4 linked regions of the Anolis sagrei genome follow. The protein of the gene in region 2 interacts with the protein of the main gene of each other region in a biochemical or structural test. Links are inferred from orthologs where the notes say so. Each region holds a gene or a part of one and is shown on either strand. Other genes may lie near its edges.

Region 1 (6,910 bases), on a different chromosome or scaffold from region 2:
TTTGTTTCAGGCTAAATGGATACCATTTACCAGCTGCATGCGCCAGAGCAACAACAGATTGAGGCCCCATCTACAATGCCATAGAAAATCCAGATTATCTGCTTTGAGCTGATTATATGGCAGTGTAGACTCAGGGCCCTTCTACACTGCTATATACTGGTAATTTGTTTATTTATTTATTTACATCATTTGTAGCCCAGATTATCTGCTTTGAGCTGGATTAAATGACAGTGTAGACTCAGGGCCCTTCCACACAGTCATATAAACCAGAATATCAAGGCAAATAATCCTCAATATCTGCTTTGAACATGGTTATATGAGTCCACACTCATATAACCCCTCCACACAAATGAATAAAATCCCTGATTATCTGCTTTGAACTGGGGTATATGGCAGTGTGGACTCAGATAACTCAGTTCAAAGCATATATTGTGGGTTATTCTGCCTTGATATTCTGGGTTATATGGCTGTGTGGAGGGCCCTCAGATCCCATCTACACTGTTGTATAAAATCTAGATTATCTGCTTTGAACTGGATTATATGGCAGTGTAGACTCAGGTCTCTTCTACCCTGCCGTATAATCCAGGTTATCAAAGCAGATAATCCACATTATCTGCTTTGAACTGGATTATATGAGTCTATACTGTCATATAATCCAGTTCAAAGCAGATAATCTGGATTTTATATGCCAGTGTAGAAGGGGCTTCTTATAATCCAGTTCAAAACAGATAATGTGGATCATCAGCGTTTATAGTCTGGATTATATGTCAATGCAGACCCAGCCTTAAACTACCTCTAGAGAAGGTAAGATTTTGGATAAATGACTAGGAGAAGATAGGGTTACTGAGTTGCTTTGCGTTTTCCAGGCTGTATGGTCATGTTCCAGAAGCATTCTCTCCTGACGTTTCACCCACATCTATGGCAGGCATCCTCAGGAGTTGTGAGGGCTATTATTAAGGAAATTAGACAATGGAGTAGTGGATAATATATGAGGGGAAAAATTGAGCATCAGACATGGGTCAAGTCAGGTCATTTCTGCTTTCTAGCTCCCTTATGAAGGTGTTGTCTTGGCATGATTTATTTATTGCCTTTCTCCTTGGCGGAGAGAGTATGACTCAGCCACAACTCCACGTGGTAACAACAACAACAACAGCTAGAGAATTGTTGAAGAGAGACCCCCTGTGTAGTGGGCGAGCTCAGGACAAACACCAGAGATGGGCAAAGTTTTAACAATTGCTGGGTTGTATGGCCATGTTCCAGAAGCATTCTCTCCTGACGTTTCACCCACATCTATGGCAAGCATCCTCAGGGGTTATGAGGGCTATTACTAAGGAAATTAGACAATGGAATAGAGGATAGCCATCCCAAGTCCCCTTTGGGAAGATGGTGGTGGGGTGTAAATAATAATAATAATAATAATAATAATAATAAGGCCTCATGCTAGTTGACCCAAGTCCCCTTTGGAGAGATGGCGGTGGGGGATAAATTATTATTATTATTATTATTATTATTATTATTATTATTATTAGACCTCATGTTAGTTGTCCCAAGTCCCCTTTGGGGGAATGGTGATGGGGTATAAATAATAATAATAATAATAATAATTATTATTATTATTATTATTATTATTATTATTGTTAGTCCTCATGCTAGCCTTCCCAAGTCCCCTTTGGGGAGATGGTGGTGGGGTATTAATAACAATAACAATAACAATAATAATAATAATTATTATTATTATTGACACAAAAGCACAGTATGTCACAGCAAACGAGATCTATATGCTGGATTTCATATCACAAAATCACTAGTTGAACACTTCCCAAGCATCTAGGACTGTGTATTATTATTATTATTATTATTATTATTATTATTATTAGGCCTCTTGTTAGCCATCCCAAGTCCCCTTTGGGGAGATGGTGGTGTATAAATTATTATTATTATTATTATTATTAGGACTTATGTTAGCCGTTTCAAGTCCCCTTTGGGGAGATGGTGGTAGGGTATAAATAACAATAATAATAATAATAATAACTATTATTATTATTATTAGGCCTTATGTTAGCCGTTCCAGGTCCCCTTTGGGGAGATGTTGGTGGGGTATAAATAAATAAATATATTATTATTATTATTATTATTATTATTATTAATTAGGCCTTATGTTAGCAGTTCCAAGTCCCCTTTGGGAAGATATTGGTGGGGTATAAATCAATAAATATATTATTATTATTATTATTATTATTATTAATTAGGCCTTATGTTAGCAGTTCCAAGTTCCCTTTGGGAAGATGTTGGTGGGGTATAAATAAATAAATAATAATAATAATAATAATTATTATTATTATTATTATTAGGATTTATGTTATGTTCCAAGTCCCCTTTGGGGAGATGTTGGTGGGGTATAAATAAATAATAATAATTATTATTACTATTACTAAAACTATTATTATTATACAGCCCGGAAAACTCACAGCAACCCAACAGCCAGAGAATTGTAAAAGAGAGAGACCCCAGTGCAGTGGGAGAGCTCAGGACAAGCAGCAGAGATGGGGAAATAGGGGAGAAGGCTCCTTTGCCCTTCTAGGGGACCGACTAGATGACATCTGGGGATCCCCTTCTGTGTTTGCGAGGCTCCCTTAACCCCAGAACCTATTGAGTCGATGCCCCAGAAGGGTAGGGAAGCCCTCTCCCCAATCCCCCCAATCCCAGGAGTTCCCCTTTTGGGCCTTTCTCACAAGGACAGCACAACAACATCACCCGAAGGGAATCAAGGGAGGAGGGGAGTTTCGCCCTTACCTGTCCGCGTGGAGGAGGCAGAGGTAGGGAGCGCGCCTTTGCGCAGAGTTTTTCCCGGCATCATCTCGCTTTGGTCCCTTCTGTGGGTCCTGGTCTGCCGCCGGCTTCGAGAGAGAGGAGGAGGAATGGCTGGTCTCCTTTGGCTCCTCTGGCCCAGCTCTGCTTCCTTCTCGCTCGCCTTCCCAACTCGTTTTGCCCGCTTCTCTGCCGGGCGCGCCAAGGCAAAGCAAGTGCCGGGGGATTTCCCAGTGACGTCAACGAGGAATCCCCGCCCCCTCGGGTGGCCCGCCGCCCAATCAGAAGCCGGGTTCTCCTGGGCAAGTGGGGGCAAGTTGCCGGCCGGCTGGAGGAGGAGGAGGAGACCTGAAAATCCCCAGCTGATCCAATTATCCATCCATACACTGCAGAATGAATGTACCAGGGTTGAATGAAAAGTAATGCCTCCACCTTCGTTACTTGGGTTTGGATAGGAATCTCTATCTATCTATCTATCTATCTATCTATCTATCTATTTTTCTATCTATCTATCTATCTATCTATCATCTCTCTCTCTATCTATCTATTTTTCTATCTATCTATCTATCTATCTATCTTTCTATCTATCTATCTATCTATCTTTCTATCTTTCTCTTTCTATCTATCTATCTATCTTTCTATCTATCTTTCTATCTATCTATCTATCTATCTATCTATCTTTCTATCTATCTATCTTTCTATCTATCTATCTATCTTTCTTTCTTTCTATCTATCTATCTATCTTTCTATCTATCTATCTATCTATCTATTTTTCTATCTATCTATCTATCTATTTTTCTATCTATCTATCTATCTATCTATCTATCTATCTATCATCTCTCTCTCTATCTATTTTTCTATCTATCTATCTATCTATCTTTCTATCTTTCTATCTTTCTATCTATCTATCTATCTTTCTATCTTTCTTTCTTTCTTTCTTTCTATCTATCTATCTTTCTATCTATCTATCTATCTATCTATCTATTTATCTATCTATTTATCTATCTATCTATCTTTCTATCTTTCTATCTATCTTTCTATAAATGCTCTGTGCCTTAAAAACAAAAGAACCAATGAACGGAATCACACCAAATTTGGCAACTAAACGTCTCACAACACAAGGAGTGACCATCACTCAAAAAATTATGATTTTGTCATTTGGGAGTTGTAGTTGCTGGGATTTATAGTTCACCTACAATCAAAGAGCATTCTGAACTCCATCAGCGATGGAATTGAACCAAACTTGCCACACAGAACTCCCACGACCAACAGAAAATACTGGAAGGGTTTGGTGGGCATTGACCTTGAGTTTGGGAGTTGTAGTTCACCTACATCCAGAATCATAGAATCATAGAATCAAAGAGTTGGAAGAGACCTCATGGGCCATCCAGTCCAACCCCCTGCCAAGAAGCAGGAATATTGCATTCAAATCACCCCTGACAGATGGCCATCCAGCCTGTTTTTAAAAGCTTCCAAAGAAGGAGCCTCCACCACACTCCAGGGCAGAGAGTTCCACTGCTGAACGGCTCTCACAGTCAGGAAGTTCTTCCTCATGTTGAGATGGAATCTCCTCTCTTGTAGTTTGAAGCCATTGTTCCGTGTCCTAGTCTCCAAGGAAGCAGAAAACAAGCTTGCTCCCTCCTCCCTGTGGAGAGCACTGTGGACTCAAACCATGATAAATCTGGACCAAACTTGGCACAAGCACTCAATACACCCAAATATGAACACAGATGGAGTTTGGGGGAAAGAGACCTTGACATTTGAGAGTTTTAATCGCTGGGATTCACAGTTCACTTACAATCAAAGATCATGATGAACCCCACAAGCGATAGAATTGGGGCAAACTTCCCACACTAAACCCCCATAACCAACAGAAAATACTTAAGGCCATCATTATGTTTTCACCAGGACAAGAAAACATAATCAAAGTCCTCATGACAAAGAGCCATCCAGCCATAGAGATAGATAGATAGATAGATATAATTCACACACAGAGAGATATAGTATCATAGATTTGAAAGGACAATGATATGTTACATGTTCCAGGGGTGGGCAAACTAGACACCAGATGCCTGCTATAGATGCAGGTGAAACGTCAGGAGAGAATGCTTCTGGAACATGAACATACATCCCGGAAAACCCACACAACCCTGAACATTGTTGTTTGTTGGAGGACCAGCACTCCTTGGATGACCTTGGAAAACTACAACTCCCATGATAGAAATAATGTAGATTGACAATTCCATAGCTCAATGCTGTTAAGAGCATTGAGCTATTTAGACCTATATTTTGGTGAGTCGGCAGCACTTTTTGGCAAAGAAGACTATAAAGACCTTGTAAAACTACAAATCCTATGATAACACAGCATTGGAGGTGCATATACATCAGGCACAGGCAAACATGGGTCTTCCAGCTGTTAGGAATTATGGGAGTTGAAGTCCAAAACACCTGGAGGGCCAGAGTTTGTCCATGCCTAATCTACACCAACCCCTCTGAATCTCCCTCATGACCCCCCCCTCTTTGGTCCCAGCCCCCAGGTTGAGAAATGCTGTTCTTCAAAGATGCATCCTGGGAGATTTGCCAGCCCTCTTCTCCCTCCTCAACTTCCTTCCCATTTTCGATTTCTTTTTCTGTAACTCTGCAATGCTCAGAAACCCAAATTGTGCTTCCCAAAATCCAAATTACTTTCATCATAAGCCATGCTGGCATCGTAGAATCAATGCAGTTTGATACTCATTTAATTGCTCTGGCTGTATGGGAGTTACAGCTTTCAGGGGTTTTAATCTCTGTCCAAGAGTGCTGGCACCTCAGGAAACTACAGATCCCAAGATTCCATAGCCTTGAGCCATGGCAATTGGAAGGAGCTCAAACTACATTGATTCTACAGCAGTGTTTCCCAACCTGGAGGGGGTCGGAACCCCAGGGGGGTTGCGAGGGGGTGTCAGAGGGGTCACCAAAGACCATCAGAAAACACAGTATTTTCTGTTGATCATGGAGGTTCTGTGTGGGGAGTTTGGCCCAATTCAATCATTGGTAGTGTTCAGAATGCTCTTTGATTGTAGGTGAACTATAAATCCCAGCAACTATAACTCCCAAATGTCAATGTCTATTTTCCCCAAACTCCATCAGTGTTCACATTTGGGCATATTGCGAATTCATGCCAAGTTTGGTCCAGATCCATCATTGTTTGAGTCCACAGTGCTCTCTGAATGTAGGTGAACTACAATTCCAAAACTCAAGGTCAATGCCCAACAAACCCTTCCAGAATTTTCTGTTGGTCATGGGAGTTCTGTGTGCCAAGTTTGACTCAATTCCATTGCTGATAGAGTTCAGAATGCTCTTTGATTGTAGGTGGACTATGAATCCCAGCAACTACAACTCCCAAATGTCAAGGTCTATTTTCCCAAACTCCATCAATATTCACATTTGGGCATATTGCGAATTCATGCCAAGTTTGGTCCAGACCTATCATTGTTTGAGTTCACAGTGCTCTCTGGATGTAGATGAACTACAACTCCAAAACGCAAGGTCAGTACCCACCAGACCCTTCCAGTATTTTCTATTGGTCATGGGAGTTCTGTATGCCAAGTTTGACTCAATGCCATTGCTGGTAGAGTTCGAAATGCTCTTTGATTGTAGGTGGACTATAAATCCCAGCAACTACAACTCCCATATGACAAAATCAATCCCTCCCCAACCCCACCAGTATTAAAATTTGGGCGCATTGGATATTTGTGCCAAATTTGGTCCAGTGAATGAAAATACATCCTGCATACCAGATATTTACATTACGATTCATAACAGCAGCAAAACGACAGTTATGAATTAGCAACAAAAATAATTTTATGGTTGGGGGGTTACCATAACATGAGGAAGAGTATGAAGAGATTGTGGCATTAAGAAGGTTGAGCACCACCGCTCTACAGTGCCACTTCTCCCTATGATGAAACGAAAGTAGCTTTAGATCAGGAAGCCACAAAGGAAGCCACAAAAGGATGCAATGGAGGGCTTCTTGCCCTCTTCCTCCCATAGTACCAAGTGAGAAAGGGGAAGGTATGATGTTGGGTCCAAGGGAGCTGCAGCCAAACCAGTTACTGGATTT
Region 2 (6,969 bases):
CATTCACCCTCTTCCACAGGACCACTGGGAAGTGCGAACGTATAAGACGGGTGTTTAGTGTTAAGACATCAATATTAGGTGGCTGCTATCTATAATAACTTGTTCGGAATAAGCAAAACACCCTTGAAACAACTAAACAAGTGACACCACACTGGGAACCACTGGTCACGCAAGTCATTCATGACACCGGAATGGGCATTTCAGTGATGTATGACCTTGAAACAAAAAAAGACACAATGGCCACCTACCCAGCCTCCGTTCTCCTGGATCCAGTTGTGCAGGTACTGGTTCAGATACTCTGTCATCCACACAGCAATATTGTCCACAAGGGGGGACATCTCCCGGCTGACACTCTCCACGCACAACAGGCCACCAAATTCAAAGAATGCCACAATCCTCCCCCAGTTCACTCCGTCTTGAAAGAGCTCTTCCACCACGGCCACAAAACGACTTCTGGCAGTGCTGGGGGTCAAATGCAGCTGGCCAGACATTTGAGCAAAGTCCCTCCGATAGCGCCGGGAGAACTCGTCTCCGGCTTGGCGTAACGTTGTGTGGACAACCTGTGGCACCCGGTCCGGTTCTTCCTCGGGGGCATTGGTACTCACAGGAGCAGAATTGGGCAGCTCTGGAGAAAGAGATGCTGGCACAGTTGGAGCAGCAGGAGCAGCAGCAGCAGCAAGGTTTCCTCTGTCTCCACTGGCAACCCAGTCATATCCTTTCTGCGACAGCTTGTAATGGATGTACCTCAGCACGATTTCCCTGTTATCGTAACCTCTTATCCCAGGATGAGCCATGGTGGACAATAAGCGGTAGGATGAGGGTGGTGGAAAAAAAGACACAGAAGCAGATGAAATGTCCCCCACCGACCCAGAGGGGGGAAAAAAGCAGCCAGTAATAATAAGTGCCGGTGTTTATATATAATCCAGTTGTTTCACTCCATGCAGTTCCATTGGTTGAGGTGTGGGGGAGTCCTCGGGGTCTCAAAGGTATTTCCGCCTTCCCAGCGTTTCCTCTTCAGTTTGTGATCCACGATGGAAAGCAGATTTCAAAGGCAGCCAATACTGTATTCCACAGGTAATATTTATCATGAGAAGTCTGTTTTCAGAAGCCTTCCTTCCTTCGTGCAGAAATGCAACTAAAATAAGAAAAACAGACACTTATTTGACATCAGGTGCACTTTCCCCCTCCCTTCCTTCTGAGCTAGGACATGAATGAAGAGGATGGTGTACACACACGCACACACATGGTTTCCCCAAGAGAAAAACAAAACACCAAACCCTGCCATTCCAAATGATTTACTACGCTGAGCAACCTCCAATGCAAATGCATGCAAAGCACATTCAACTCAGGGCCCTTCCACACAGCCATACAACCCAGAATATCAAGGCAGAAAACCCCACAATATCTACTTTGAATTGGGTTTGAATTGAGTCCACACTGCCATATGATCCAATTCAATGTGGATTTGATACAGCTGTGTGGAAGGGGCCTTACATATCTCGGTGCCCTTCCACACAGCCCTATATCCCAGAATATCAAGGCAGAATAATCCCACAATATCTGCTTTGAACTGGGTTATCTTATAATTCAGTTCAATGTGGATTTGATACAGCTGTGTGGAAGGGGATTTACAAATCTCAGGGTCCTTCAACACAGCCATATAACCCAGACTATCAAGGCAGAAAATCCCACAATACCTGCTTTGAACTGGGTTATCTGAATCCACACTGGCACATAATCCAGTTCAATGCAGAATTGATACAGCTGTGTAGAAGGTGCCTTACATATCTCAGTGCCCTCCAAGACAGCCAAATAATCCAGAATATCAAGGCAGAAAAATTCCACACTATCTGCTTTGAACTGGGTTATCTGAGTCCACACTGCCAAATAATCCAGTTCAAAGTGGATTTGATACAGCTGTGTGGAAGAGGCCTCAAAGTCCCCAGTGGATTTTCCCCTCTTTTCTTTATAATAACATTAAGTTACTCAAAGTATCCCACCAATTTAAGATACTTACTTGGATGAGAAATATCATTTTCTGTGAAGTTTCCTTACTGGAAAATAGAACCGAAAAAACATCATGAGGGGAAAATGCAAAAGGGTCTTTTGGAGGAGTCCAAACCAGAAAAAGCAAAAGATGGAAAAGCAGCTTTCAACCTCTTTAGGACTGTTGGGATTTCCAAAAACGCTTCCAAGGCTCCTGTTTGAGTGACATTTCCAAGGAGATGTCAAAACTCAGAAAGCCGGCCTCCTAACTTTCAGGACAGGGAAGCCAAGCCGGCGGTGGGATGAACCACCAACAAGGCGAGAAGAAGCAGAAGCAGAAAGGAGCCAAAGGATCCGGGAAAGGCATAGTTCAAGGCAGGCTTTTTGAATGAGGGAGAGAGCTTCCCAGGGCAGCGTGGTGGTGCTGCGGGGTCTCCATTCAGCAGCTCAAGATCTCCCAGTCTGGACTGATTGAAAACTCTGGACTGCAGAACTCAAAAAGAAAGTAGTTGGAGGGTTCCCCTTCTTTGCCTTTTTAAATATCCCATAAGGCAAAGGAGGGGGAGAATGGGGCGGGTCTTGACTGCTTCCCTTCCCTCCTCCTGCTTTTTCCCCAATGCCCTTCACTACTATTACTACTACTACTACCCCTCCACTACCCCAATGCCCAGCGGCCTCCTGCTCCTCCTTTTCCTGTGCTGCTGGGGAGGCCGGTCGGTCCCCCCTCTCCCTCTGCCTCTCTCTCTCTCTGAATGTGGCTGCAGCCCGAGGGGGAGGAGACGGAGGAGGGGAGCGCCTTGCTTCTTAGCCCCACCTCACGGTTCATTCAAGAAAAAAAAGGGAGGGGAAGGGAAGGGAAGGGAAAGGAGGGAAGCCGCCGATTCCTTCCGTCAAAGGCGCCGCCGCCTCTGTCGCCCGTCCTCTTTCCCCCTCCCAGGCACTCATTGCAATTCACACACCCGCCATGGCTGCTGCGCCTTCCTTCTCTCTGCCTCGCTCTGCCCGGGTTTCTCCAGGGCCGGGCGCGAGGCTGGGTGGTCCGCCCTGGGAGGGAGGCAGAAAGGAGGGAAGGAGGGTCGCCCGGGCCAAAAAGGCGGCAAAGCGCGAAACCCCCCGCTCCATTCATTGGGTGGGTTGGCCCTGGGGAAGGGGAAAAGGGAGAGGGAGAAGTAAAGAAGAGGGCTAGATAGGAATCCAGAGAGAGAGAGAGGATAGATAGATAAATGATAGATAGATAGATAGATAGATAGATAGATCCGAAATAATAATAATAGGTAGGTAGGTAGGTAGGGAAGGGTGTTAGATATGTATCTGTGTATATAGAGAGGAATAAAGAAGTATGTTAGGTAGGGGATCCAGAGATAGACAGAGATAACTAAGAAATGGTGTTAGATATCTAATATAAATAAAGAAATGTACTAAATAGAGATCCAGAGAGAAAGAAAAGGTAGATAGATAGATAGGTATATAGCTAGAGAGAGAAATAAGGGTGTTAGATATGTATCTGTGTATATAGAGAGGAAGAAAGAAGGGTGTTAGATAGGAATCCAGAGATAGATAGAACTAAGAAATGGTTAGATATGTATCGTAACAGAAATAAAGAAGTGTACTAAATAGGGATCGAGAGAGAAAGAAAAGGTAGCTAGATAGATAAGTAGGTATATATCTACAGAGAGAAATAAGGAAGGGTGTTAGATATGTATCTGTGTATATAGAGAGGAAGAAAGAAGGGTGTTAGATAGGAATCCAGAGATAGATAGAACTAAGAAATGGTTAGATATGTATCGTAACAGAAATAAAGAAGTGTACTAAATAGGGATCGAGAGAGAAAGAAAAGATAGCTAGCTAGATAGGTAGGTATATATCTAGAGAGAGAAATAAGGAAGGGTGTTAGATATGTATCTGTGTATATAGAGAGGAAGAAAGAAGGGTGTTAGATAGGAATCCAGAGATAGATAGAACTAAGAAATGGTTAGATATGTATCGTAACAGAAATAAAGAAGTGTACTAAATAGGGATCGCGAGAGAAAGAAAAGGTAGCTAGATAGATAGGTAGGTATATATCTACAGAGAGAAATAAGGAAGGGTGTTAGATATGTATCTGTGTATATAGAGAGGAAGAAAGAAGGGTGTTAGATAGGAATCCAGAGATAGATAGAACTAAGAAATGGTTAGATATGTATCGTAACAGAAATAAAGAAGTGTACTAAATAGGGATCCAGAGAGAAAGAAAAGGTAGCTAGATAGATAGGTATATATCTAAAGAGAGAAATAAGGAAGGGCGTTAGATATGTATCTGTGTATATAGAGAGGAAGAAAGAAGTGTGTTAGATAGGAATCCAGAGACAGATAGATAGAGAGGACTAAGAAACAGTATTAGATATGTATCTAATAGAAATAAAGAAGTGTATTAGATAATGATCCAGAGAGAGATAAGAGGAAGAGAGAGAGAGCTCTAAGAAATGGTGTTGGATATATATCTAATAGAAATAAAGAATTGCACTATGTAGGGATTCAGAGAGAGAAAAGATAGGTAGGTAAGTAGGTAGATAGGTATATATTCAAAAGAGAGAGATAAGGGTGTTAGATATGTATCTGTGTATAAAGAGAGGAATAAAGAAGTGTTAGAAGGGATCCAGAGATAGATAGTTAGATAGAAAAAGAGTGAAATAAAAAACAGTGTTAGATATGTATCTAAAGGAAATAAAACAGTGTACTAGATAGGGATCCAGAGAGGGGGAAAAGGTAAATAGATAGAAGGATAGGTATATATCAAGGGAGAGAAATAAGGAAGGGTGTTAGATATGTATCTGTGTATATAGAGAGGAATAAAGAAGCGTGTTAGATGGGATCCAGAGATAGATAGTTAGACAGAAAGAGAGAGAAATAAGAAACTGTGTTAGATACGTATCTAACAGGAATAAAGAAGTGTACTGTATAGGGATCCAGAGAGAGAGAAAAGGTAGATAGATATCAAGAGAAAGAAATAAGAAATGGTGTTAGATATGTATCTTAACAGAAATAAAGACGTGTACTAGATAGGGATCCAGAGAGAGAGAGAAAGTAGATAGATATAAGGTATATTTCAAGGGAGAGAAATAAGGAAGGGTGTTAGATATGTATCTGTGTATATAGAGAGGAATAAAGAAGTGTGTTAGTTAGGGATCCAGAGACAAACAGATAGATAGAAAAATAAGAAATGGTGTTAGATATGTATCTAACAGAAATAAAGAAGTGTACTAAATAGGATCTAGAGAGAAAGAAAAGGTAGGTAGGTAGGTAGGTAGGTAGGTAGATAGATAGATAGATATCAAGAGAGAGAAATAAGGAATGGTGTTAGATATGTATCTGTGTATATAGAGAGGAATAAAGAAGTGTGTTAGATAGGGATCCAGAGAGAGAGAGAGAACTAAGAAACAGTGTTGAATATGTATCTAACAGAAATAAAGAAGTGTACCAAAAAGGGATCCAGAGAGAAAGAAAAGGTAGCTAGATAGATAGGTATATAACTAGAGAGAAAAACAAGGAAGGGTGTTAGATATGTATCTGTGTATATAGAGAGGAAGAAAGAAGTGTGTTAGATAGGAATCCAGAGATAGATAGATAGATACAGAGATAGATAGATAGAACTAAGAAAAAGTGTTAGATATGTATCTAATTGAAATAAAGAAATGCACTTGGTAGGGATCCAGAGAGAGAGAAAAGGTAGAGAGAGAGACAGAGAGAACTAAGAAATGGTGTTAGATATGTATCTAATAGAAATAAAGAAGTGCACTAGATAGGGATCCAGAGAGAGAGAAAAGGTAGATAGATAGGTAGATAGATAGATAGATAGATAGATATCAAAAGAGAGAAATAAGGGTGTTAGATATGTACCATATATAGAGAGGAATAAAGAAGTGTGTTAGGGATCCAGAGATAGATAGTTAGATAGAAAGAAAGAAAGAGAGAGAGAGAAATAAAAAACAGTGTTAGATATGTATCTAAAGGGAAATAAAACAGTGAACTAGATAAGTACCCAGAGAGAGAGAAAAGGTAGATAGATAGAAGGATAGGTATATATCAAGGGAGAGAAATAAGGAAGTGTGTTAGATATGTAGCTGTGTATATAGACAGGAATAAAGAAGTGTGTTAGATAGGGATCCAGAGATAGATAGATAGATAGATAGAGAACTAAGAAACGGTGTTAGATATGTATCTAATAGAAATAAAGAAGTGCACTAGATAGGGATCCAGAGAGAGATAAACGGTAGATGATAGATAGATAGATAGATAGATAGATAGATATCAAGAGAGAGAAATAAGAGTGTTAGATATATGTCTGTGTATATAGAGAGGAATAAAGAGGTATGCTAGATAGGGATTCAAAGGTAGGTAGGTAGATAGATAGATAGTAGGCCTGTCAGTTTTGTATCGTTAATTCGTTTTTCGTATTTTAATCGTTATTTTTTTTAAAAACGAAGCGATATCAAAACATATTTTCAAACCCGGAAGGGTTTGAAAATATCGAAACAGCAGCCCCATTTTTTTTACGAGCTTCAGCTCATCTCGTAAATGCAATGGCGGCTGCTGTGCTGACTTCAGTGCTGTGGTCATGTGCTGGTGCCTGGGAACCAATCAGGCGCTCCCAAGCACCCCAGCAGCACCGTGGCAGGAGCCGATTGGATGGTGCGCGCGCGCTCACCCGCGCTCACCTCCTCCTCCTCCTCCTACCAGCTGTGTTGCAGGAAGTGCTACGAGGAGGAGGAGGAGGAGGAGGAGGAGGGCGCAGGAGCCCGAGCCGGATGGCGCGCAGGGCTAACAGCAGGAGCGGAGGCCGGTTGTAAAGGTGAGCGGAGCGCGCGCGCGCGCCATCCGGCTCGGGCTCCTGCGTCCTCCTCCTCCTCCTCCTCGTAGCACTTCCTGCAACACAGCTGGGAGGAGGAGGAGGAGGAGGAGGGGGGCGCAGGAGCCCGAGCCGGATGGCGCGCGCGCGCGCTCCGC
Region 3 (7,843 bases), on a different chromosome or scaffold from region 2:
TACTGGGAAGGGGCAATGTTAATACAGATGTAATTGTTATTGTCAGTATATTATGTATATAAATTCACTTTGGTCTTAAATTCCAACTTCCGACTTCTGGCCATGTATGCACATGTGGGTGTGTGGGTGCATATTTACAGGTGTGTGGGGTGTGCATCATACTCAAAGCTCTAGATCAGTGGTTCTCAACCTGTGGGTCCCCAGATGTTTTGGCCTTAAACTCCCAGAAATCTTAACAGCTGGTAAACGGGCTGGGATTTCTGGGAGTTGTAGGGCAAAACACCTGGGGACCCACAGGTTGAGAACCACTGATCTAGATCCTAGGAGGGAAACTGTGGAAGGGATGGAAGCCATATGGTGACTCAAGTCCCAACATGACTGAAAATGATACCTCCTTTATGATTCTGAAAATCGGTCCAAATACAGATGGTTCCTAAGGGGGGATTTTTTTGTGGTGATCTGGTATGTTTTTTAGCTGGGAAAGATCAAAATGCGAAAGTCTTCATAGATTATCATGTGACCCACAGCTTGCACATCTTTGCTTCAATTAATATTCAGAGAATCTGAGGAGGCATATCATATTCCACAAAACATTGTGCTGTGTGAAATCTGTCAACCGCAACACTTGTTTCAGGTCCAACCGAGGCACACAGCTTCCACCTTTGGAAAACATCCAGACATGGGTCAATTTTTACCTGATGCCAAGGCAGGCGCAAGGAACAATTCTGATGGAAGAGGAACAAAACCAGCTGTACTTGAACATTTCCATTTGTACACAGGAGTGGGAGGCAAAACATTTTCAACTATTTAGATTGGAAAACTCTTCCAATATATTTTTTAAAAACATCTTGGGCTTTGCAAATTCCAGACAGAAAGGGATAACCGCCTAGAAGAGGTCTAATGTCTGTTTAGGGCAGGCATGGGCAAACTTCAGCCCTCCAGGTGTTTTGGACTTCAACAGCTGTTAGGAATTATGGGAGTTGAAGTCCAAAACACCCAGAGGGCCAAAGTTTGCCCATGCCTGGTATAGCAGAAAGCACCAGTCTTTTCCCGTAGTTGAGAGAGATCAACTCCCAACCAACACAGATCCTAGTCCTGCATGTTTATTCAACAGACAAGCCAATAGAATCTAGTAAAGGAGGGGATACTATGTGCACCCCCAAATCTCACCATTTACCTATAAAGCCCTAAACGGTTTGGGTCCAGGCTATTTGTCCAATCATATCTCCCTATACAGACCATCCTGTGAACTGCTGTCAGTGGAGGAGGCCCTGCTCTTGGTCCCACCCCTGAATCAAGCTCTGTTGGTGGGAACGAGAGAGGGGACCTTCTTTGTGATCACTCCCTGTCTCTGGAACTCCCTCCCTAAAGAAATAAAAACAGCCTCCACCCTCCTCTCCTTTAAAGAACTTCACATTGTTTTGAAGATGCACTTTAGCATATGGAGAGGAGAAGGACTAAGATACTATTCCACCGGAACACTGGCAAACCTGTTTGCATTATATGATGGCTATGATACATGTTAATAAACACCTGTGTTCGCCATTTCATATGCAACTCATGTCTAACTGTTTTTAATGATTAGGTGTTTGGAAAAATAATGCTAATTCCCCCTCTCATTATAAACTATTTAGATGGGAGCTGGAGACAGAAACAAAGAAAATCAAAATTATGAATTCTTAGGGGTTTATTGTAGTGTTTTAAATGTTTTTAATTGTCTTAATGTGTTTTATAATTCTATTTTTAAAAGTTTATTTTAATTGTCCATTGTTTCAAGACATCAAATAGTCACCTATGTGTAAAGTTGCTTTGAGTCAAATCTGGGATGGAGAAAGGTGGGATAGAAAGATCATACATTAATAAATAATAATAAATTTATACATACAGTCTTGGGACTTGTAGTTTCCCAAGAAAACTCTGCTAAAGGGAAACACTGGCTTCAAGTTACAAACAGTAAGGCTTGATCTGCAGCCTGAAAGCACTTGAGTGGCCATGGTTCAATACTATGCAGTTTTGGGATTTGTAGTTTCCCAAGGTCTTTAACCTTCTCTGCTAAAGAGAAACACTGGCTTCAAGTCCCAGAAAAAGTAAGGCTTGCATCTACACTGTAGATCTGATCCAGCCTGACAGCACTTTAACTCCCATAGTTCAATACTATACAGTCTTGGGACTTGCCGTTTCCCAAGGTTTTTAACTTTCTCTACCAAAGGGAAGCACTGGCTTCAAGTCCCAATGATTAAAGCTTGCATCTAACACTGTAGATTTGATCCAGCCTGACAGCACTTGAATTGCCATGGTTCAATACTATACAGCCTTGGGACTTGTAGTTTCCTAAGGTCTCTAACATTCTCTGCCAAATGGAAAAATTGGCTTCAAGTCCCAAAAAAGTAAAACTTGCATCTACACTGCAGATTTGATCCAGCCTGACAGTACTTGAACTGTCATGGTTCAATAGTATATAGTCTTGGGATTTGTAGTTTCCAAGGTCTTTAACCTTCTCTGTCAAAGAAAAACTCTGCCTTCAAGTCCTAAAGAGTAAGGCTTGCATCTACACTGTTGATTGAATCCAGCCTTACAGCACTTGAACTGTAATGGTTCAATACCATACAGTCTTGGGAATTGTAGTTTCCCAAGGTCTTTAACTTTCTCTGCTAAAGGCTTCAAGTCCCGAAGAGTAAGGCTTGCATCTACACTGCAGATTTGATCCACCCGAGAGCACTTGAACTGCCATGGCTAAATACTATATAGGTCTTGGGACTTGTAGTTTCCCAACTTTCTCTGCCAAAGAATATTGGTGCCTCTACAAGTTAACAACTCTCAGGATTCCAGATCATTGAGTGGTGGCAATTACAGAGGTGTCAAACTGCATTCATTCCTTGGAAGGTTAGCCAATCAAAACAGGGGATGGCGCTCACCTGTTGGGCGCTGGAGGTGCTCCGTCTCTGCCTGGGCGCCATCGGGGACCCGTCCCCCGCGGTGGCTACTCGCTTTCTCTCTCACTCTCTCTCTTCGTGGATATCCTTCCCTCTGCGGCTGCTCTCTCAGCGCTCTTTGCAAGCGCGCGCTCCTTGCCGGCCGCTTTAGTGAGTGCTTTCCCGCAAGCCCCGCCCCTTTTCTCCCGGGCCCGGCCAGCAGCCTCCGTGACGTCAACGCCGAGCTCCATTGACGTCGTCGGAATCCCAGCCATCAATGGGGGCTAAAAATAGGCAGGCGCGCGCCCGGCGGAATAAGCGCGAGGCTCTCCGCCCCCGCCTCCATCCAGCCAGAGCCGGGCGAGCCTATTTCGGGCTTGTGGCGAGCGGAAGCCGAGGCCTCGCCCCCTCCCTCCTGCGAAAGCGTGGAGGAAAGGGAAGGGGCGCCTTTAAGAGGGACCCAACCCCTTCCCTCCCTCCCCCCCCCCCCTCTCTTATGGCCCATCACAAAAGGTAAGTGCCTTCTATCCCCTCGTGCCAGTAAGTGCATCTACATTGTGGAATGAATGCAGTTTGACCCCACTTCCACTGCCAAGGCTCAGTGCTATGGATTGCAACGATTTGGAGAGACAGCAAACGACAACTTGTTCCATCTTGTCTCCTGTGCTTTACTAAAAATATAATATAATATATTGTATATACATATAATATTGGTAATATTATAATGGAATACAATATAACACTACTACTACTAATACAATGTTATAATTGTATATTTTATATTACATGTAATATTTACAATATAATGGTGTAGTACAATATTAGTAATATATAATATTATATATATAATATATAATATTATATATATTAGTAATATATATAATAGGGTGGCGCAGTGGGTTAAAGCACTGAGCTACTGAGCTTGTTGATCGAAAGGTCGCAGGTTCGATTCTGAGGAGCGGCGTGAGCTTCCGCTGTCAGCCCTAGCTTGTGCCAACCTAGCAGTTCGAAAACATGCAAATGTGAGTAGATCAATAGGTACCGCTCCGGGGGGAAGGTAACGGCGCTCCATGCAGTCATGCTGGCCACATGACCTTGGAGGTGTCTACGGACAATGGTGGCTCTTCGGTTTAGAAATGGAGATGAGCACCACACCCCAGAGTCAGACATGACTGGACTTAATGTCAGGGGACTACCTTTACCTTTACCTATGTAAGAGGTTTGTGACATGCCTTTTGAACCTTAAAGATGGCTCACAGTCATAAAATAGTAGAGAGTATTAAAATACAGCTAAAATATAGCATGTTCTTTCCATGTTATGTCTACCTCTGGTACCAAAGTCTGTGTTAAAAGAAGTCTTGCCTAGGAACAGACATGACTGGACTTAATGTCAGGGGACTACCTTTACCTTATAATATTGATACTGTACTATGCTAATAATATACTATTGTATATTATGGCAACAACTCTGATTGACAACTGGAAAATAGAGGAAGAAAATGTGGAGGCCATGACAGACTTTGTATTTCTAGGTGCAAAGATTACTGCAGACACAGACTGTGGCCAGGAAATCAGAAGACGCTTACTTCTTGGGAGGAGAGCAATGTCCAGTCTCGATAAAATAGTAAAGAGTAGAGACATCAGACTGGCAACAAAGATCCGCCTAGTCAAAGCCATGGTATTCCCTGTAGTCACCTACGGATGTGAGAGCTGGACCTTAGGGAAGGCTGAGCGAAGGAAGATCGATGCTTTTGAGCTGTGGTGTTGGAGGAAAGTTCTGCGAGTGCCTTGGACTGAGAGAAGATCCAACCAGTCCATCCTCCAGGAAATAAAGCCCGACTGCTCACTGGAGGGAAGGATACTAGAGGCCAAGATGAAGTACTTTGGCCACATCATGAGGAGACAGCAAAGCCTAGAGAAGACAATTATGCTGGGGAAAGTGGAAGGCAAAAGGAAGAGGGGCCGACCAAGGGCAAGATGGATGGATGGCATCCTTGAAGTGACTGGACTGACCTTGAAGGAGCTGGGGTTGGTGACGGCCGACAGGGAGCACTGGCGTGGGCTGGTCCATGAGGTCACGAAGAGTCAGAGACGACTGAACAAATGAACAACAACAAAATGTATATATATCTTATAAGCTGCTCTGAGTCCCTTTCAGGTTGAGAAGGGCGGCATATAAATGTCGCAAATAAATAAATAAATAAATAAATAACTCTCAGGATCTGACATACTGAGCCATTGCAAGTTAAAGTGGTATCAAACTGCATTCATTTACACTGTAGATCATAGGCTGTATGGAATTGTTGGAGTCCAAAACACCTGGAGGGCCGAAGTTGGCCCATGCCTTCTGTAGATGCAGCCAGTACTTGCTGCCTATTGTCCACTGAGTTTTGATAGGGTTTTCTTGGGAGAGCAATATTCAGAAGTGGTTTCTCTCTCTCTCAGGGCCCTTCCAGACAGGCCCTATATCGCAGGATCTGATCCCAGGTTTTCTGTTTTAAACTGGATTATATGAGTCCACACTGCTAGATCATCTGGGATAAACAAAAAATGTGGGATCAGATCCTGGGATAAAGGACCTATCTGGAAGGACCCACAGCCTCAGAGGAAGGCAAGGGCAAACTTCCTCTGAGCACATATTGCAAAGAAACCCCTATGATGATGATGATAATAATAATTTAATTCCTTACCCGCCTCTCCTTGTGGCTCGAGGCAGTTACAGCATAATTAAAACACATAAAAGTTAAGTAAATGTTTCCCCTTGACATTAAGTCTAGTTGTTTCTGACTCTGGGGGTTGATGCTCATCTCCATTTCTAAGCCGAAGAACCAGCATTGTCCATAGACACCTCCAAGGTCATGTGGCTGGCATGACTGCATGAAGCGCTGTTACCTTCCCACAGAAGTGCTACCTATTGATCTACTCACATTTGCATGTTTTCAAACTGCTAGGTTGGCAGAAGTTGGGGCTAACAATAGGAGCTCCCCTTGCTCCGCGGATTCGAAACGCGGACCTTTCACCAGTAGGTTTGGCAGCTCATGGTTTAACCCGCTACACCACCAGGGGCTCCAAAACACATAAACACACACACACACATTAAGATATATTTCTATAAAAGATATATATTAAATTGTATTTCTATAAAATATATATTAAAATATACAAACACAGAATAATATGATGGGGTCACCATTGGTTGAAAACGACTGGAAGGCATGCAACAACAACCTGGGCTTTAGCACAGCGGGTTAAACCACCAGCCACAGAAAATCTTGCCGGTTGTGACCTCCTGGACTTCTTCAAGCTTGGGTTAGGGAGAGCTCCCAACCATCAGCCCAGCTTCCACTCACCTAGCAGTTCAAAAACAGTAATGTGAGTAGATAAATAGGTACCGCTTTGGCGGGGAGGTAATAAATGACGCCATGCGGACATGCCAGCAGTTCAATTGGGAGAGCGTCTAAAGACAACAAAGCTCCTCAGAATGGAAGATGGAGCAACAGCACCTCCCATGGCCGGTGTCAAGCACAGCCTCCAGATGCTGGAGATGGAAAAAAATGGGAAGCCTTTACCTCTGTTTATGTCCTGTCTGTCTGTGTTAATTGTATAATGGCACTGAATGTTTTCCGTATATGTGTACTGTAATCTACTCTGAGTCCTCTCGGGGAGATAGAGTGTAATATAAATAAAGTATATTATTATGATTATAGCACACACACCCCAAAAGTACATGGCTGCAAACCTCAAACCCCCCCCCCCCCCCCCGCGCTTGGGAGTCAGTGGCATTCAGTGCTGCGAGGCTTATCTCTGAGTATAGGAAACGCAGGTTGAAAAGTATTTTTAATGCAGACAGGAAGTACAGTCCAATGTGTCATTAATCTCAGTGAGTCCAACTGGGCTTCCTTCCAAAAAACTGTGTATAATGTTGACCATTAAGCACTTAAGACATATGGTACACTACTGCTATTCTACTTCTCTGTAAAGGTACTGGGATTGTGTTGTGAGGCTGCTGTTTTGAATGCCATTAAACTCAATCTAGTATCCCCCCCCCCCCAGTGCATCTACACTGTAGAATTAATGCAGCGTGACACCACTTTGCCATGACTCAGTGCTTTGGTTCCTTCCACACACACAGCCATATAACCCAGAATATTAAGGCAGAAAATCGCATAATATCCTTTTTGATCTGGGTTATCTGAGTCCACACTGCCATATATTCCAGTTCAAAGCAGATAATGTGGGATTTTATTTATTTTATTGTGTGGAAAGGGCCTAGGAGTTGTATTCTGACAAGTTCTTTAGCCTTCTCTGCCAAAGAGTGTTGGTAATTTACCAATCCACAGATCCCAGGCATGGCAGTTCAAGTGGTGTCAAACTGCATTAATTCCGTAGTGTAGATACACCCTTAGTAAACAGAGGTAAGAGCGGCTGGTTGGATGGGGAAAAATATGGGCAGGACTGCCACCTGTGCCTTTAAATATACTCTAGTGACTGTTGGGAAAGAGAGGTTATTATCTTATGTGTTTTTTCTGAAGCCCTTTCCACACAGCTGAATAAAACTCCACATTATCTGCTTTGAACTGGGATATATGGAAGTGTGGACTCAGATATTCCAGTTCAAAGCAGATATTGTGGTTTATTCTGCCTTGATATTCTGGGTGATATGGCTGTGTGGAAGGGCTCTGAGAGTGGACCCAGCCAAGAGGAGGACTGGCGGCGACCTTCCAAGATCACGAGATTCTTATTTTGCACTAATCTCCCAAATCCAGGCTTGTTCCAAACGTCTGCAGTTTTACAAAGATTGCATTTTTGCACATGAAGCTTAAAGTGAGTAAAATCCCTTTGTAATGCAAATATTAAAGCTATGTGGGCCAACATATCTCTTCCCTCCCCCTTTTCTGACCTCCATCAAAAGGGATCACATAACTGCTCAC
Region 4 (7,771 bases), on a different chromosome or scaffold from region 2:
ATGAGTCTGGACCAAGCATGGCACGGATACTCAATATGCCCTGATATGAATACTGGTGGAGCATGGGGAAAACAGACCTTGACATTTGGGAGTTGTAGTTGCTTGGATTTATAGTTCACCTACAATCAGAGAGCATTCTGAAGCCCACCAATGATAGAATTGGGCCAAACCCCCCACACAGAACCCCCATGTGGGCCACAGCAACGCGTGGCAGGGGACAGCTAGTATTTACATAAAACTGTAATTTTTACATATTTGTTTTTGTAAAATATTTGCATAAAACTGGTGGAGCTTGGGGATAAGGCTGTCCAACTCTGATTAAACCATTACTCTAACCTTCTTCGGTGTAAATGTGCTTTCGTATACTTCCAATAATAATAAAGAGAGTAAAATAATAAATATAATAAAAAATAACAATAATACAGTAAAATAATAAATGTAATAATAATAGAGTGAAATAATAAGTGTAATAATAACAATAATAGAGCAAAATAATAAATGTAATAATAATCATTAGAGTAAAATAATAAATGTAATAATAATAAATGGAGGTGCTCTTGGGGGAAAATAGACCTTGACATATGCGAGTTGTAGTTACTGGGATGTATAGTTCACCTACAGTCAAAGAGCATTCTGAACTCCACCAATAATAAAATCGGGCCAAATTTCCCACACAGAACCCCCACAACCAACAGAAAATACTGTGTTTTCTGATGGTCTTTGGCGTTCCCTCTGACACCCCATCGCGACCCCCCCCCCAGGGGTCCCGACCCCCAGGTTGAGAAACTCGGAGCAAACATAGCAAACTTGAAGTACTGATGGACTTTCTCGGGGTTAACCTGGCATGATGTGAGTTGTAGTTCACCCACAACTTTATGCATTTAGGACATTTACAAAACTGACTTTTTCAAATAACATGGGCAATGCCAGGCACCCAAGCTAGTAATAAGTAAAAGAAAATACAACAACATGAAACCAGTAATAACATTACATAAAATAAAATAATAAAATTAGTATAATATAATATTATGTGTGTGTGTGTGTGTGTGTGTGTATTACTAATCTATACACATAATAAAAGTGAAAATGTGTATGACTGTATGTGGTGGAGGTGTCCAGTTACACAGACAGCCTCCTGCCTCCACAAAGGCTATAGTTCCCACTATGCAGGAAGCACCGATTGCCCTCCCTCCACTGACATTCCAGGTTAGAGTGGGCACTATGAACATGTTTCCCTACCCCTGGCAATGTCGTCCCCAAACACCATACTGCACGACACCCAAGGAAAGCTTTCATTCAGAGACGAATTCATCCTAGATGTTCTGTTTTGCCTCCAACAAACAACAACAGAGAGGAAACAAAAAAGGACTTCTAATCACCTCTCAACAAAAGTTTGCTCCAGGCACTGTCAGGCCATTATATCAAGGTGGTCAGCTGAAACATTCACACCTAGCTCCAACAGACAAGAGTCCTTTGTCTCACCCTGGTCATTCCACAGATATATAAACCCTTTTTCCTAGTTCCAACAGACCTCACTACCTCTGAGGATGCTTGCTATAGATGCAGGTGAAACGTCAGGAGAATGCCTCTAGACCATGGCCATATAGCCCGAAAAAACCTACAACTCAGTGATTCCGGCCATGAAAGCCTTCGATAATACATTAAACAATGCTTTTTTCAAATAACTCGTGGACCGCCGAGTCCCCAAGCTAGTATTACTAATAGACATAAAATTAATATAAAACAATATAATATATGTATAATAATAATAATAATAATAATAATAAAACTTTATTTATACCCCGCTACCATCTCCCCAAGGGACTTGGAGTGGCTTACATGAGGCCAATCCCAACAACACATCGATAAAAACAACAAGCAATAAGCAAAATAAATAATACAATTAATATAACTCACACATAGACAATAACACACAATGATTTCAAAACCTATGGCTGGGCCAGATGTAATTAAACCAAAAGTAGAGAGCAACCCAACGGGTAATTAAAGTGCTTCTGAGGATATTTTATATATTATAAATATACAATTTAATAATAATAATAATAATAAGAGAAGAATGTGGGATATAAATATAGTGCTAAAATATTACTAATAAAAATAAATTAAATTAAATATAATTAATATAATATTATGGGTGTGCATATATTACTAATATACAATTTAATAATAATAGGAGAAGTGGGATACAAATATTACTAATAAGAATAAAATAAAATAAATAAAATAGAATTAATATCATATAATATTATGAGTGTGCATATATTACTAATACACAATTTAATAATAATAAGAGTAGTGGGATACAAATATTACTAATAAGAATAAAATTAAATAAATAAAATATAATTAATATCATATAATATTATGTGTGCGTATATATTACTAATATACAATTATTATTAGCATTATTATTATAAGAGAAGAAAGGAGGATATAAATATAATATTAAAATAGGAATAATAGAATAAAATACATATAATATAAAGTGTATATATTACTAATATATTATTTAATAATAATAATAATAATAATAATTTTATGATTTCCTCATGGCGGTTCACGGCACAGTCAAAACACACAAACATTGCAAGAAAAAAAATCCATAAACGCATGTATTAAAATGTTAGTTCTAGAATATACCAATTCTATCAAATGCATATGGAGTACACAGGGCAGAGATTGAAACACATTGAGAAACCTAAAGACTGTAGACATTATGCTGGGTGGAAGGAGGAAGAAATTAAAAGCAGGAGAGAAGCCAGATTCTGAATGTCTTGCACTCATCTTGCAAGCCATTGCAAGCAGAAGAGAGAAGCGACCCATTGCAATGCAAAGGCAGTAGGGTGGGCAGGAAATGGCATGGCTTTTACCCCAATCTCCAATCCCCCTTCACTTTCCTCTGCTTGCAAAACACTCACCTGGACCCAGGAATTGCTCACTTCCTTGGTCCCGCCTCTCTTTCCATCAGCTGATGGCCGAGGAGGCGGCTGATAGGCTGCGAGAGCTGCCACTCCAGCCTGACCTCCGCACACCCCCATTGCGCAACCTCTTAAAGGGACAGTGACCATCCCCAGACTGTATATTTACCACCAGCTTTCTACTTATGCCTTTTCAGACTACAGTTCTCATCAGGCTTCTCTTTGTGATTACAGTTCTCACCAGCTTTTCCTTAATGTCTTTACAGACTACATTTCCCATCAGCCTCTCTGTCTTTTCAGATTACAGTTCCCATCAGCCTTGACTTTGTGACCTTTCGGATTACAGTTCCCATCAGCCTTTCCTTAATTTCTTTACAGACTACAGTTCCCATCAGACTTTGTGTCATTTCAGATTACAGTTCCCATCAGCCTTTGTGTCTTTTCAGATTACAGTTCCCATTAGTCTTCCCTTTGGGTCTTTATAGACTACAGTCCCAATCTGCCTTTATGTCCTTTTGGACTACAGTTCACACCAGCCTTCCCTTTGTGTCTTTAAACTACAGTTCCCATCAAGCTTCCCTTTGACTTTACAGACTACGGTTCCCATCATCCTTCCCTTTGTACCCTTTCGGATTACAGTTCCCATTAGCCTTTCCTGAATGTCTTTACAGACTACAGTTCCCATCATCCTTCCTTTTGGGTCCTTACAGGCTACAGTTCCCATCAGCTTTTCCTTAAGGTCTTTACAGACTACAGTTCACATCAAGCTTTCCTTTGTGTCTTTACAGACTACAGTTCCCATCATCCTTCCCTTTGTGTCTTTACAGGCTACAGTTCCCATCAGCTTTTCCTTAAGGTCTTTACAGACTACAGCTCACATCAGCTTTTCCTTAAAGTCTTTACAGACTACAGTTCACATCAAGCTTTCCTTTGTGTCTTTACAGGCAACAGTTCCCATCAGCTTTTCCTTAAGGTCTTTACAGACTACAGTTCCCATCAAACTGACCTTTGCCCCGATCCGAGGTTTTAAAATGAATCTGCGTATTCAGGATGACTCAGTGGAGAGAATGAAGTAATACTTTAACTGGAAGAATAATATAATATTTTATATTGACATATAATATTAATAATAATATTATACATTATAATACTAATAATAATATGATATAATACATAATACTAATATTGTGCTATGCTAATAATATCATATATTACATATTCATATAATATTAATAATACACTATAACAATATATAATACTAATATTGTGCTATGCTAATATTATCATATATTATATATTCATATAATATTAATAATACACTATAATAATATATAATACTAATATTGTGCTATGCTAATATCATCATATATTATATATTCATATAATATTAATAATACACTATAATAATATATAATACTAATATTGTGCTATGCTAATATCATCATATATTATATATTCATATAATATTAATAATACAATATAACAATATATAATACTAACATTGTGCTATGCTAATATTATTATATATTATATATTCATATAATATTAATAATGTAATATAATACTATATAATACCAATATAACACTAATATATGAAATATATTACTGCTGATAATATATAATAATATAAAAATGGCAATACTATTTTATTGTTTTCTGAAAAGATGAAGCGGGATATCAATCCAAAAAAATCGATGAATGAATAAATCTAATATCTGTGTTATTGCATTCCCATAACATAGAGAGGGCGTGGTTTAGCCCTCTTTTTATCCCCCAATGAAAATGCGGCGGGGGCGGAGCCAACGGAGTAGGAAGCAAAGCGCAGGCGGGTCCACCATTGCTAGGGTAACCACGCAGGGCACGTCCAGGGACGCAAAGCCTATGTCAGCGCGTAGCCACGCCCCACCCGGAAGTGAGCCGTTAGAGGCTGTTGGAAAGGAGCCTTCCGGTGGGGCTGAGTGGAAGAAGCGCTCTCTCTCAGCGCAGGCCTCGGTCGCGTCAGGGATGTGAGCTTTTGGCTTTGGAGCTTCTTTCAGGTGCGTCGGGGGCGGGGCCAAAATGGCCATTGGGGAACAGTGAGTGGGCGGGGCCTGACCCGATGGAGTGTCTCAGGGGGCGGGGTTGTGGGCGGAGCTTGGGGAAGGGGCGGAGTTTGGGAAGGGTCCTCTTCTGCCAACACAGATACAGACTTATAGAATCATAGAATCAAAGACTTGTCAGCTGGAAAGGAGGGGGTTTCCTATTGGGAAGGGCTTGTTGGCTTTCACAAGGGGCAATCCTTGTGAGGTTTGTGGGCTACTGAGCACAGAAGTCATAGAATCATAGAGTTGGAAGAGACCCCATTCTGCCATGCAGGAAAAGCACAGTCAAAACACCCCTGACAGAAGGCAATTTAGGCTTACAATTTAGAGTTACAAGCTGGGTAGGTGCAGAGAATGCTGTGGATTTCAGTAAGGCCTTCAACAAGGTCCCCCATGACCTTCTGGCAAACTAGTCCAATGTGGGCTAGCCAAAACTACGGTTAGGTGGATCTGTAATTGGTTAAGCGGACGAACCCAGAGGGTGCACACCAATGTATTGTCAAAGGCTTTCATGGCCGGAATCACTGGGTTGTTGTAGGTTTTTTCGGGCTGTATGGCCATGGTCTAGAGGCATTCTCTCCTGACGTTTCGCCTGCACTTGGCAAGCATCCTCAGAGGTAGTGAGGCCTGTTGGAGCTAGGCAAAAGGGTTTATATATCTGTGGAATGACCAGGGTGAGACAAAGGACTCTTCTCTGTTAGAGCTAGGTGTGAATGTTCCAACTGACCACCATGATTAGCATACAATGGCCTGACCGCGCCTGGGGCAAGCTTTTGTTGAGAGGTAGATGTCCTTGCCTGTTTCCTCTGTTGTGCTGTTGCAATTTTAGAGTTTTTTAATACTGGTAGCCAGATTTTGTTCATTTTCATTCTTTCCTCCTTTCTGTTGAAATTGTCCACATGTTTGTGTATTTCAATAGCTTCTCTGTGTAGTCTGACATGGTGGTTATGAGAGTGGTCCAGCATTTCTGTGTTTTCAAATAAAATGCTGTGTCCAGGTTGGTTCATCAGGTGCTCTGCTATGGCTGATTTCTCTGGTTGAAGTAGTCTGCAGTGCCTTTCATGTTCCTTGATGCGTGTCTGGGCAATACTGCTGCATTTGGTGGTCCCTATGTAGACTTGTCCACAGCTGCATGGTACACGGTAGACTCCTGCAGAGGTGAGAGGATCCCTTTTGTCCTTTGCTGAACGTAGCATTTGTTGGATTTTCTTGGTGGGTCTGTAGATAGTTTGTATGTTGTGTTTCCTCATCAGCTTCCCTATGCGGCACTACAAATAAGATACATGCAGTGTGCATAGGAATTCATTCATTTTTTTCCAAATTATAATCCGGCCCTCCACCAGTTTGAGGGACTGTGACCTGGCCCTCTGTTTAAAAAGTTTGTGCACCCCTGTTCTAGAGGCATTTTCTCCTGACGTTTCGCCTGCATCTATGGCAAGCATCCTCAGTGGTAGTGAGGTCTGCTGGAACTAGGAAAAAGGGTTTATACATCTGTGGAATGACCAAGGTGGGACAAAGGACTCTTGTCTGTTGGAGCTAGGTGTGAATGTTTCAACAGCAGTACAATACAATACAGCAACATAAAATATAAACAAAAAAATAACATCACAGTAAAAATAAACCGATAAAATAAAATAAATAATATAAAATAACATAATATAAAATCAAACACAATAGGTAGGCCAGATGTTTGACATAAAATTATAAAACACTAGATGAGATAGCAATGAAAAGTGCAATTTGTAGGGAAGGAGCTCGTAGAGGACTGAACAGTGGAGTTAAACTTTCAATAAGTTGGGGGAAAGTGCAATATGGGGAGAATGCTCTTTGAATGCAATTTTCCTGCTGCTTGGCACTGGATGGTTTTGAGGTCTCTTCCAACTCTATGATTCTATGATTATGATTCTAAGATCCGATGGGCCATCTCGTCTGACCCCATTCTGCCATGCAGGAAAAGCACAATCAAAATACCCTTGACAGAAGGCAATTTAGGCTTCTCAGCTGTTAAACTGAAATCCCTGGTTATCTCTTTGAACTGTTAAGGACAACGTTATGCCAATGCACAACATATATACCAGATCTTCAGAAGTGCATGTGAAAAAGATCTCTCTGCCCCGGAGTGTGGCTGGGGCTCCTTCTTTGGGGGCTTTGAAACAGAGGCTGGATGGCCATCTGTCAGAGATGCTTTGAATTCAATTTTCCTGCTTCTTAGCAGGGAATTGGACTGGATGGCCCATGAGGTCTCTTCTAACTCTATGATTCTATGATTATATTTTCTCCTTTTTCTTTTATATTTGTTTATATGCCTATATGTACTTTGGTATAAGTCTAAGTCAAACTCAATGTATAAGTCAAAGGCAGGTAGGAGAGCCAAAATGAGTCACCTTTCACCACTCAGAGAAAGGGATAGTTCCATTTTTTTTTACAAGAGTTAAGATGCAGTATTTACATTGATGTTTCATATACACCTTATACACATAAGTCTGAAGACTGTTGCACATGAAACTAAGTCCATGTATATTAAGCTACCAGGCTTTTAAACAGAGGTTGGATAGCCATCTTTCGGGGGTGCTATCTACACCCCGCCTTTCTCTACCCCAAAGGAGGCTCAAGGCAGCTTAAAAGGTAAGGTAAAGGTTGTCCCCTGACATTAAGTCCAGTCATGTCTGACTCTGGGGGTTGGTGCTCATCTCCATTTCTAAGCCGAAGAGCCGGGGTTGTCCGTAGACACCTCCAAGGTCATGTAGCCAG

Evidence for each region.
Region 1: the proteins of BCL2 (region 2) and PMAIP1 interact in a biophysical measurement, tested with the Homo sapiens proteins (2 studies listed by BioGRID and IntAct, with this or other methods). The link is inferred for Anolis sagrei from reciprocal best matches to the Homo sapiens genes BCL2 and PMAIP1.
Region 3: the proteins of BCL2 (region 2) and NR4A1 form a complex in vitro, tested with the Homo sapiens proteins (2 studies listed by BioGRID). The link is inferred for Anolis sagrei from reciprocal best matches to the Homo sapiens genes BCL2 and NR4A1.
Region 4: the proteins of BCL2 (region 2) and FKBP8 form a complex in vitro, tested with the Homo sapiens proteins (4 studies listed by BioGRID, with this or other methods). The link is inferred for Anolis sagrei from reciprocal best matches to the Homo sapiens genes BCL2 and FKBP8.

What each region holds. Positions count from the first base shown.
Region 1 is NC_090022.1:281,555,469-281,562,378, forward strand, and holds the start of PMAIP1 (phorbol-12-myristate-13-acetate-induced protein 1), read right to left. Parts: upstream 3,018-6,910; 5' UTR 2,858-3,017; coding exon 2,794-2,857; intron 1-2,793. UniProt on the Homo sapiens protein: Promotes activation of caspases and apoptosis. Promotes mitochondrial membrane changes and efflux of apoptogenic proteins from the mitochondria. Contributes to p53/TP53-dependent apoptosis after radiation exposure. Promotes proteasomal degradation of MCL1.
Region 2 is NC_090024.1:89,535,808-89,542,776, reverse strand, and holds the start of BCL2 (apoptosis regulator Bcl-2), read right to left. Parts: upstream 3,026-6,969; 5' UTR 2,018-3,025; intron 1,136-2,017; 5' UTR 795-1,135; coding exon 249-794; intron 1-248. UniProt on the Homo sapiens protein: Suppresses apoptosis in a variety of cell systems including factor-dependent lymphohematopoietic and neural cells. Regulates cell death by controlling the mitochondrial membrane permeability. Appears to function in a feedback loop system with caspases.
Region 3 is NC_090022.1:139,197,714-139,205,556, forward strand, and holds the start of NR4A1 (nuclear receptor subfamily 4immunitygroup A member 1), read right to left. Parts: upstream 3,018-7,843; 5' UTR 2,916-3,017; intron 1-2,915. UniProt on the Homo sapiens protein: Orphan nuclear receptor. Binds the NGFI-B response element (NBRE) 5'-AAAGGTCA-3'. Binds 9-cis-retinoic acid outside of its ligand-binding (NR LBD) domain.
Region 4 is NC_090034.1:50,953,224-50,960,994, reverse strand, and holds the start of FKBP8 (peptidyl-prolyl cis-trans isomerase FKBP8), read right to left. Parts: upstream 3,018-7,771; 5' UTR 2,940-3,017; intron 2,935-2,939; exon of another isoform or gene 2,892-2,934; intron 1-2,891. UniProt on the Homo sapiens protein: Constitutively inactive PPiase, which becomes active when bound to calmodulin and calcium. Seems to act as a chaperone for BCL2, targets it to the mitochondria and modulates its phosphorylation state.